Linked DNA regions of Drosophila melanogaster. The protein of the gene in region 2 interacts with the protein of the main gene of each other region in a pairwise test. Each region holds a gene or a part of one and is shown on either strand. Other genes may lie near its edges. The genes, in order: CG17855, CG2712 and phol.

What was found.
Region 1: the proteins of CG2712 (region 2) and CG17855 interact in a two-hybrid assay, tested with the Drosophila melanogaster proteins (one large-scale study listed by BioGRID).
Region 3: the proteins of CG2712 (region 2) and phol interact in a two-hybrid assay, tested with the Drosophila melanogaster proteins (one large-scale study listed by BioGRID).

What each region holds. Positions count from the first base shown.
Region 1 is NT_033779.5:9,538,547-9,542,300, reverse strand, and holds the start of CG17855 (uncharacterized protein), read right to left. Parts: upstream 1,779-3,754; 5' UTR 1,658-1,778; coding exon 1,603-1,657; intron 1,549-1,602; coding exon 1,243-1,548; intron 1,184-1,242; coding exon 1,038-1,183; intron 984-1,037; coding exon 726-983; intron 668-725; coding exon 554-667; 3' UTR 1-553. Other genes in the region: Oatp30B (organic anion transporting polypeptide 30B), read right to left, coding at 3,647-3,754.
Region 2 is NC_004354.4:2,730,586-2,734,339, forward strand, and holds the start of CG2712 (uncharacterized protein), read left to right. Parts: upstream 1-1,883; 5' UTR 1,884-1,979; coding exon 1,980-2,585; intron 2,586-2,645; coding exon 2,646-2,900; intron 2,901-2,970; coding exon 2,971-3,615; 3' UTR 3,616-3,754. Other genes in the region: ttm50 (tiny tim 50), read right to left, coding at 1-121, 181-304, 364-892, 949-1,132, 1,205-1,463.
Region 3 is NT_037436.4:9,454,137-9,457,890, forward strand, and holds the start of phol (pleiohomeotic like), read right to left. Parts: upstream 2,146-3,754; 5' UTR 1,602-2,145; intron 1,507-1,601; 5' UTR 1,404-1,506; coding exon 1-1,403. Other genes in the region: CG3437 (uncharacterized protein), read right to left, coding at 2,262-2,544, 2,630-3,166, 3,226-3,399, 3,458-3,513.

The DNA.
Region 1 (3,754 bases), on a different chromosome or scaffold from region 2:
TGTGGAGATTAATTTACTTTGTCAATAATTTGCAACATTAGGCATTGGGCAACAAGGCCTCCGACTGCATTAAGTCATAAAAATAATTGTCATGTTTTAATGGATAGCGCACCACGTCGAATTGGAAATGGGATGGGAGGGCAGAAGTCGGGGGCTGGAACCTTCACAGCTCGGAGGCCAGATCCTTTTGGCAGGTGATCTGTCCGCAACTCGTTTGATGGCATTAGCAAATAATTTAATTAATCGCCATTAGACGAGGGGTTTCTCTGCGCGCAGTCCAAGAAACCGGGTTACTATATCGCAAAAGTTTTGATTTAACGCAGCCGCCGAGCGTGTTTGTCGAACCTTAAAAGCAAATTCTGGTATGTGCACTGGTTAGGCGTAGTTGGTTCGGAATCTGGGTTAGTCCAGCCGTCTAGTTATTGCTCTCTGTGCGTAAACTTAGTGATCAGTTTCATCAGCTTTAGTATGGCTACTTGTTATTATGATCTATTGGTTGGTTGTTTAGTTTTTGGCTGGGAGCTATGTGATAAGATTAATCCCGCCACTTATCCTAATCAACAGGCTCGCTTTCTTTCTCCAACTTGGCGCGAATTGTTCTTTGACAGCGGGATCTCAACAATTCCCGTCTTAGGGCATTGCTCTCTGTTTCCACAGTTTGTATGAGCTGAATACAAGGAACAATCAGACATATATAATTAATGAGAATTAGGATTAAAGCTTACGCTATGGGTTAAAGCAGCTCTTTCCATAGTTTCTGCGTCGGCATCATCATCCTTGGGGTCAGATTCACTGCTAGAGGAGCAGCGCCGGGCCTGCATAGCTTTATGATGCTGTCCGGGATAGTCTTCCTCATATTTGGGCGGTGGGTCGTCATCGTTGGGTAGCGAGGCCGGCAGACTGGTCGCTCCTTCTTCTGATTTTGCCTTAAAAGCGGCTAATTCGTCCCGCAAGGATTGGTTTTGCATTTCCAGTAATTCCACCTTTAAACGAATCATTTTTACTTAAGCTTGCTAATACGTTCTAAAGCGTCTTACGCTCTCAAGTTCAAAATCCATTTCGTCAATAATGTCGTATGACTCATCAAGGGCTCTTTGAAGTTTTTCTACTTTGGCCTTCAGCTCGTTCAATTCGTTGACATCGCTTTGGGCCGACTGCCTTTTCTCCATAGCCATTCGTTGCTCTAGTAGATTTTTAGAGTATTGATCTAATTTTAAGCAAAAATTCCATTTCCTAACACACCTGCATTTCTTTGATCTAAAGAGGACTTCATTACCAAGCCTGTAAGCGTCTTCTGCCGTTTAAACATCTCCTCCAAAGCACGACAACGTTTCACTTTCTCCAGATAAGCGTCATGCAGTTTGTTGTACTTCTTCTTGTGCTTCTGCAGTGTTTCCACCAGACGATCTCGTTCCTCCTCCAATTGGAAGACCATGATCTTGGCCTCCACATTTATGGCCGCATTGGTGCTGTGGCTGGCAGATGCGCGATTTAGTCGATGGCGCAGCAAAATGTTTTCCTCCTCCAGCTCCGCACTTCTGGACTTTGCTGCAAAGGAGTTTCAATACATGGCGTATACGCAACGACATTGCTCATACGCACCGGCAGCCAGTTCTGCATAGAGAACCTGCATGGTAGATGTAGCACGTTTCTCCATTTGTTCGATTTGTATTACTTCAATTCGTAGTGGTAAAAATTACTCAGCTACTGAAAAATCTTTTGTTGCTGAAAACAGTAAAGATAAGCTATCAGCGAGTTGAATTGCGTGGATATCGCTGGCAGAGTTACTTTGTTAAGTTATTCGATTGCTTACGAACATATAGAATCGATCAAATTTTAAGTCTTAACAATTTAATTAACACTATTATTTTTTTTACCTATGTGGAACCCAAATTGATGGAAAAAGTTTTTTGTATTAATCATCAGAAATGCTAATCAAAAGATAGGCTCGTTAAAAATTAATTATTTCTTGCTCGTCTTGTTGCTTAAATAACAATGTTAATTTAAATATTATATGGTGAACCAAATTTATAAAAAAATTTTTAATAAAAATGTTATCTATATTTAAAGTACGTTAGGTTTGTGTCTTGGATATAAGATACTTGCAAACATCATGGTCACACCATTTATGTAGTTCCCTAATTCGAGTACCATCTTGTAGGGGCGCCACTGTGCCAAAATTTCAAATAACTAAAAAATTCGTTAAAAATAATGTCTTTTAAGAAAAAACAAATTGACTTGTTTAATGCAGTTTTGGTTTATTTTGTTTTTCATTTTAGGAGTCTCATTGTTTTCATTTCATACATGTCCTTATTAGTTTATTTGCAATATTTCTCTAAGTAAAAATATGTATTCCTTAAAACACACTTTTTGAGTAAACATATATATGATATATATATATATGATCTTTTGCACCTAAGACTCACTTTCTGTAGTCCGTTTTAAAATCGCTCTTCAATAATGTATAAGTTATGTTGTACAAACACATATCCCGATACGAATTATTAGCTACGCGTAGGTACTTATTAACGTACAATTGTATACATATATTTCTTATATGGATGTATCTATTTAGTGCTCGAGGAGCTCCTCTCTGCCTCCTTTCCTACTGTATGTGGCTGGTTGGTGTAAACATAGAAATAGTTGCTACTAATTAACCTAGATTGCATCACTTAGGACTACTGGGGGTCTTGCACTCGGGCAGTGCGTAGGAAAACAACCGGATGGATCGATTGAATTCCCATTTCAGTTGAGATACTGATATTATCCGCGTGTATATTTAATTGATATTTTTAAGGCATTATCGCATTTAAAGTACATCATTCGGTTTTAAAATCTAGGCTAGACACTTGATTTTCTCGCTACCATTAAAACAGGGAATTTAGGATTTTTCATAAAACTATTCCAGACCTATTCTTCATTCGAACCCATCGCTATTTTGTCCACAAAGATTCTCTAAATGATGTATTTGCATAAGAATTACATTCAGCGTATTTTCACTTTCTTTCTAATTCAACGTTTTCGTTAATTTTTGTTTTCTATACTCACAAATTGTTTCACAGCACAATTTCCATTGACAATGGTTAAATGTTCGGATTATTAAAACATTGTAATTCGCTATTCGTTTCTCTTTTCTTTCGCCAACTGATTCTCAGTCAATCGTTAAACTTCGAAACCGAGATTGCATAAAGTCGAAATAAAGCGAAACGTATGCAGCAGACTTCAAACACTTAATCGACTTTTTACGGATCTAATCTACACTCCACTAAAATACAATACAAAATATTCCTATCACAACGATCTACTCCTACCTTAAAATATGCTAGTTGCTTTCTAGGATTTCTATTCTATCGCCTGGTTACATAAATATTATCTGCAAGGATTCGTAATCGTATCTGACTCGGATTCGAATTCTGGTTGAATGTTGTATATATCAAAAGATTTCTATTTTCAGATGCCTTCTATTAGTAGATTTGAACACTCGGTCGTAAGTACAATGAGCAGCTGAGGGACGAGTCACTTCATCAGGAAACGGGCATGAACCACATACACTCAAAGTACGATGAGGCGATTGCCGCCGGGAATGGAGACATTGCTGATGTTGCCACAAATCGAAAATCCTAGCTTATAGCTACATGGCCTAGCACTAAGCACACGCGGAACGCTCCTCCTCTTCATCATCGTTATCGTTGATGAGCTCGTTACGATCGTCATCGATCTGGATCTTGTGGTGCGACGTGTTTCGCGTGTGCTG
Region 2 (3,754 bases):
GCCTCCAGCATTTGTTCGGCCAGCTTGCGCTGGTTCTCCCGGAACTGGTTGATGGGATCGTCGAACTGGCGATAGTAGTGGAGCACCTCGCGCACGTCGTCCACGTTGTTCTGCGCAATTACTGTAGCGAATTGCAAGGGTCAGTGTTTAGCTTTCAATGTCACTTGTGGCGCAACTTACTCTTTAGGAAAGCGATAAGGTCCAGCAGTTGGCCATCATCGTCGTTGCCATGCCAGCGGGCCAAGCCGAATGTGTTGTCCGGATGCATCTTGGTGGCATTCGCATCCCAGTCCACAACAATCACCTAAAATACTCCCTTCTTTATAGATGATTGCAATAGAAAATACGTTGTGCATGACTTGCCTTCTTGAGGTCGCGATTAAGGTTGTCCAGGTTCTTCACATGATGGCCGTCCACAAAGTGCGTGGCATCCCTGACCAGGCGGTACATAATGTAGCCGTTGGGATCGAGGGCATCCAGGATGGGGAACACGGTCATGCCCTGTTCGGCGGTGAAGACGACAATTTCAAAGTCCTTGGCGCACTCGGCCAGAAAGTGGTCGACGCCGGGACGCTTCTTGAAGCGCCAGCCAGTTTGGTAAGTCCAGTCCGGATGCACCAGCACGTCCTTCATCTCCAGCACAAGCGTGTAGCGCGGCTGCACGTACGGCGGCTTGAGCGGATCGGGCAGCAGTTTGGCGCGCGACGGCTCCTGGATCATGCGCTGATAGTAGTGAATGCTCTTCCACATCCGCTGCAGATACTGCTGTACCAGCGGCTTGTGTGTGAACTCGTCCTCGATGGGCTGCCCGTTGGGGTCCACCTCGGGCTTGCCGAACTCGTAGACGGCCCAGAATCCAGCAGCCACGGCGCTGCCTCCGAATATTGCAAAGCTGCAGCAGGAAGTATTGTTATAATACTGTTACGCATTGAATGGGCGTCAGCTTACCCCAGCTTCATGCGCTTCCAGGCACGCTCGTTCTCCTTTTCCTCCTCCTCCTCGCGCTTCTTGCGCTCCTGCTCGGCGTTGCTGTCCACCTCCGGCGAGGTCTGAGGAAAGAGCTTGGCCAGCAGCGGGGCATTCGGTGCGACCTCGGGCGCATCATTGGGGCCAGTGGCTCCAGCTTCCTGCTCTGCGAAACGAAAGTGGCCAAGGATGAATGTTTAGGACTCTACTGTTTAGGACTCTACCGTGAATCACTTACTGGTTGTGCTGCTGTAGCCACGCGCTGTGTGCAGGATCGAGAAGAGCGCCGGAGCAGCCGCTGGCAGTGCTGTGCAAGTGAATAGTCGGAGGTACTGCTGCTGGTGGTGGAGGAGGTGGTGCTGGTGCTGGTAGTGTTGGTGGTAGTGGTGGTAGTGATTACCCAATGCGCGGTGCTGGTGGATGTGGGTAAGAAGACGCGGCGTGCTAAGGCCGCGCAGCAACTGGAGGACGGTGGCCGGTGCCATGCTCATGCTCATGCTTCCCCCTTCCTTCCCGATATCGAGTCCTAGAGCCGTTCACGAGTCCTGCTCGGATGGCAGCGACTTTTTACTTATAAAAAATTCCAACAAAAATTTCAACTTCCCACCGGCACGGCGTTGGCGTTAGGGATTTTATATACTGTCCACTGCCAGGCGGCACCAGGCGTTAGTACATTTAGCACGTGGCTCTCAGCAGGTATAGATCGGCGATTTTCAAGCCAAATCTGGCGGGATTTTGCAGATAACTGCGTGTGTACATATGTTGCCTCCGGCAATCTGACTAATCACAGTATTAAGAAAATTTTAAATTAAAATATTTTAAATAATATGGAAATACACAACCTTTGACCAACCACCAAGCCACTGTGCCTCTGGTCACTTCCAAGCTGATGTGCCTGGCTAGCTATTTTGAGTGCCACCACTAACGCATCAGCTGGACTTTGGCATCACTGTTCGGGACGCTAAATTAAGTTATTTATTTAAACGTGTATTATCTACTGTCGAGTTCAATCCATGACGACCATGTCGCCGCCGTCCCCCATGGACGCCTTGTGCCGCGTGTGCCACACAGCATCGCCGCGCTGCCTGCCGCTCTTCAAACCGCTCGACGATCCAATTTCCGGCAAACCAGCGACGCTGGCCAGCATTTTAAGCTACTGCAGCGGTCTGGAGATCCTAGAGGCGGAGCTCTTCCTGCCCCACCACATCTGCCCGGACTGCGTGGCCAAGTTGCGGCTCTCGCTGGAATTCAAGCGGAGTGTCCATCGCATGGACAGAATTCTGCGGCAGAGTCATGCGGACTTTTGCCGCAGCAAAAAGATCAGCGCGGTGAATACTAGGGCCAGGCTGTCAACCGAGATTCCGGAGGATTTTGTACTCGTGCTCGATGACCAGGAAGTGACTGAATATCCAGCAGAAACGATACGAGATGAGGAGCAACTCCTGGTCGTAGAATCAGATGAGGCGGAGAGCCGGCTGGAAGCGCCAATTGTACAGGAGGAGAGGCTGGATATTGCACTGGAACAGCACGAAGACGATCTCTGCGAGATTGTCGACGATCCGGATCCGGAGCAACGTAGGAGCAGGTTAGAAAGATCCGAGCCAGCGCTGCAATGTCCCGTGAGTTGCCTTTCCGAATTAGAAGTAAGTAATCACGAAATAGTTTCCCATCTTCGGCAGATTTGCGGCAAACAACTGGCTAGGAAGCGGACCTTTCAGTACCACATGAGGCTACATGGCCAGCCAAAAATTCGCCAAGAAGACAACGACCACTGCATTGAAGAGTGCCTCCAAGTGGAGCCCGTTTTGCAGGCCAAAGCTGGCGAAGATGTCTACGAGATTGTGGAGAAATCAGCACAGACTTCGGCGACGCAGAAAACTTTGCCCAGTGGAAGCCGGCCTTGGAAACCCCTCAATCCCTCCCTACAGTGTAAAGTAAGTTGGTCATCGCAGCTCGCAAATAACTCAAAGCCGAAGGTCATCAATTCTCCCTCCATTCCTTTAGATCTGTGGCAAGCAACTAAGCACCAACAACTCCTTCAAGTACCATATGCAGCTACATGGCACGGCCACGCCCTACGTTTGCACAATCTGCGGAGAGTCCTTTAAGACGCGAAACGCCCGCGACGGCCATGTCACGCTGCACGATCGTAACAATCCGAACAGGTGCCCCACCTGCTTCAAGGTCTACCGGCAGGCGTCCTCGCTGCGCACACACCTTCTAATCCACAGCGGAATCAAGCCATTCGAGTGCAGCATCTGCGGCAAGAGGCTAACACAGAAGTCGGGCTACAAGAAGCACATGCTCACCCACACGGGCGAGAAGCCGCACGGCTGCGACATTTGCGGCCGTCGCTTCCGCTACTCGAGCAATCTGATTGCCCACAAGCGCTGCCACAGCCAGGAGAAGCCCCACCCGTGCCCGGTGTGCCAGAAGCGCAGCTTCGGCAGCACATCCGAGCTCAACCGCCACATGCTCGTCCACAGCAGCGAGCGACCGTTCGGCTGTGAGCAGTGCGGCAAGTCCTTCAAGCGCCGCATCTCACTCGCCATCCATCGCCAGTCGCACAAGGCGGGCAGACAGCGGAGGCGGGCCGAGCATGAAGTGGGTGTCCAACTGGAGGAGCAGGACGAGAATGTGGAGACCTGAAGCTAGATCGCTTATACTATCGGCTTAATGTACAAATCGGGACATTTAGTTTTAGTTCAATTCGCTTTTATTTTCGGTACTTTCCTTCGCACAATAACAAGTTTTAAGTGTGTTCCTATTGTTAGGATAAATTTGATTG
Region 3 (3,754 bases), on a different chromosome or scaffold from region 2:
GGTCGTTGGGGTCGGGCTGGATTGCTGGAAGCCACTAGTGGCGGTGGGGGATTTGGTGTCGCCACCTGAGCCGCCGCCGTGAGTTGCCTCTTTGTCACCTTTGACTGATTTCCCGCACTTTTCAGTCGCACATTGGTGCTGCTGTTCTGGAGCACTAGTTTTGGGAGAGCCGGCTGTGGATTCGGTACACATCCGTTGACCTTCGATAGCGCTACCGACACAGTGGCTGGACCTGGTCCCGGTGTCTGTATCAGCTCCACATTATTCGGCATGTTCTCGATAAGCTCGATGTTACCATAAGCTTCTTCCAACTGGTTTTCCGCATAGATCAACTGTTCACTTAGCGGCTGGCTGTCCTCCTCGCCTTTGACATCGCCCATAAATGCATTAACCACCTCCTCCACATCCGTGACCGCAGAGGCGCTGAATGGATCGGGTAGGATGACGTACTCGTTGCCGATGCCATCGCTTAAAACATCGTGGTTGATCATGTGCTCGTCAATAATAAGCTTTGGCATGCTGGGTGATCCTTCATTCTGGGCGGCGGAGGAGGACGTCACGGATGTGGTGCCAGCACAACCAGGTGGTTCCTCCAACTCCTCCTCCTCGTCCTCATCCTCCGAGTTGAGCGAGGACCAAAGGGTGACATTGAACTCATCCTGCGTTATGCGTATGGGTACCTTTGTTTGCTTCCAGCGCTTGGCCGCTGAATTTCCCATGGGCCTCTCGACGCGACTGCTTCCAAATAGCTTAAAATCCTGCAGCTGGCCATTCGAACTGTTTGAATCCTCGGTCGCCTTCATATAGAAGTCGCTCTCGAGCTGCTCCTCCTTGATGTTTGTGGCCTCGATGGTGGTTAGCATCTCGGAGGCAATCTCGAAGGCATTTGTCGTAGCCGGCGCGGTAGCCTCATCATCCTCATCGCCATCGCCATCGCAGGAGGATGTCATCTGCTGTCCATCCTCCTCGATGAATTCCTCATCGTCGCTGGTCTGCTGCATGATGATCGGCGGCGGCAGTGCATCTGCCGTAGCCACCGTGACCGAGGTAAGTCTGTCCAGCCGATCCACCGGATAGTATTCATAGTGCTCAAAGAATTCGCCTGAGTCTACGACGATATTAGCCTCATCATCATAGTCGTCGATGATCTCCTCGATCAGGAAGCTCTCGCTTTCCTCGCCCATCGGATCGCCCGCCAAAACGGTGTACGGATCTTGCTCGACTATGGTAGCCGCCGTAGGCTGGTGTGCATGAGTGAAGTATGCCGACGACGGGGCGGAGTGCAGGGGCAACGGTACCGCCGCAGCGGCCAGCGATAGATTCTTCACGATGGGCGCTCGTATCTGATGCAGTTGAGGCTGGAAGTTCCCTCCGACGCCGACGTGATGATGATGACTTGTCATCGCGGCTGCTCCGTCTGCCTGTCTGTGTGCCTGTATCTGTATGCTTGTATTTGTGGGCGCTCTTGCTTCGTGCGTGAGTGTTAGTGTTGTGTGTGCGAGCGCGCTGCGGAAAAAGTGGGCAATTAGTATCTGGCCAAAAATCCGTATTATGTATATATCTCTATATATTCGCCAGACTTCCAAAGTGGACAAACGTACGTGTTTTCGTCGGTATTGCTGCACTGAACTGGCCTTTCCCTCCACCTCTTTTTCCACTTTTTTGTGGCCAATGCCTATCGTTTATTGTGCGACGGCGGCGGCAGACGGCGAATGATGCGTACCGCTCGCTCCGCTCCGCCCGCCACTCTCCTGCTGCCCAATGGCGGGTTAATTCTCGCTTTGGATGACCACCTCGATCCCGCTCACCTCGGGCAGTGTAAATATTTTGAATTTTGCCGGTTAATATGGCGGAATTGTATTTTCCAGAAACGGCTCGGTACTTTCTCTCGCGTTGCGTGTGTGGGGTGTGTGTGTGTGTAGTGTGCAGCGACAGGCGCCACAATGCAACCCTGCGCGCGCTTTGTGTATATCTTAAGCGGTTTATTCAGCGGAGATTGGTTATTCTCTTCGCATTACTTCGCAAAACAGCACAAATGTAATCTTAACTACTATTCAAAAATTGCATTTTATTAACCTCCAACTGGCAAACCATTTATTAGCTGTAAATACCGCGGCGTTCTGTCTTTCGATAAGCGATAGGTTTGTTGTTCTGCCACCAGGGTTGCCACCCGACAAGAAAACAAATGCGCAATAACAATAAATTAATCTCCATGGCTTTACTATTATTTCGAGCTATTTACAATTGTTGCTCATAAATAACTAGTTAAATTTCTTTAGCAATAGAACTTCTGGAATATAAATACGCTTCAGCTTCGACTCCACAAAGCGCTCGTGTTGGGGTGTAAATACCTCTGCATTGTGGTTAAAATCAGTCTTATTAAATTGCACCGCCTTCCTATCCGCTGTTAAGGATATATTATAATGCCGACATTGGTCCTGCAATCCTGTTGGCCCATCGAACAACAGTAAACGCAACAAGTAAGGAACCGGCACCGTAAGCTGTTTGTTGTTGTAGGCATGCGTGAAAATCTGCAACAAACTCCTGCAAATATACATACATACATATGTATTTACATTAAAAATGCATCATGTCAATAAGAGATCCAATAGAAAAAGTTATACTGTACCTCCTTATCACCTGCAACTTGGCGGCAGCTACCGCGCACAGAATATGCGGCAATTGTGGCACACCCATGAGCACTCTATACAAATTGCCCTGTTGGAAGGCCAAACAGATCCCAAAACAAAGCTTAAACGTCGCATCCCGACGCACATAGTCCGGTAAGGTGAGGGCGCGTGTAAAGGACTCGGGAGAACCCAGATTAAACAATTGATACAGGCTCTCTATGAAGCAGCGCCGCTCAAGCTCACGAACGGTGGGTTCTCTAGATGATTCCAAGTCCTCCAGTTCTTCGTAACAGCAAAGCACTCCCGTGAGGCACTCTTGCAAATGCTGATTGCATATCTTGAGATCGAACTTCTCGATGGGCTCCTCACACAAGCGATAGCGACTATATGCCAGAAACATCACAATGGGCTCTAACAGGCAAATCTTCTGACTGGCATCGTACATCTGGATCACGATCTCCCGACGCACCGCCCTCAATCGATCGAATATGAAGTCGTAAGCCACATTGTACGGCTTTCGTGTGTCCAGGATTATGCTGCACAGTATATTAATTATCAGATTTAACTTGGCTAACTAAGCGCCTAATATACTTGCTCCTTGAGCAGATATTCCACTGTTTTGGTCAATGCCGCTTCTGTGCGCATTTCCTTGGGCATGGGCATCTTGACATCGGCGGCGGAGCGTGTAAACTCCTTGACCAGGACTCCTGGCTTGTTCTTCTGGCCATTTTTTAGCTCGAAATAGTGCAAAAGCTTCTCGCGAATACGCCTGAATGTATTAAACGGTGTTATTATATTAAATTCGGGTTTAAATTTCGTTTACCTACATTTTCGCCTCCCCATCGGGACAGAAACTTTCGCAAGATCCTCGAACTTGGGCCATTTGTTGATGAATGCAGCCAATTTCAGCAGCAAACAAACCAGGGATGCAGGTCTTTTGGATCAAAGGCGTAGCTCAAATTTTTTAATGGGGTTCAGAAAATAAAATATGCTTCTTAAATCTCGTACGCCAGCTTCTAACTAATAAAATTCCGAAATTGGGACTTTATTAGGATCCATATTTATAAAAACGAACGCGCTGACTCGTTTTTTTTTTTAACCCTCTTGCCACGCCGCTGAAGTCA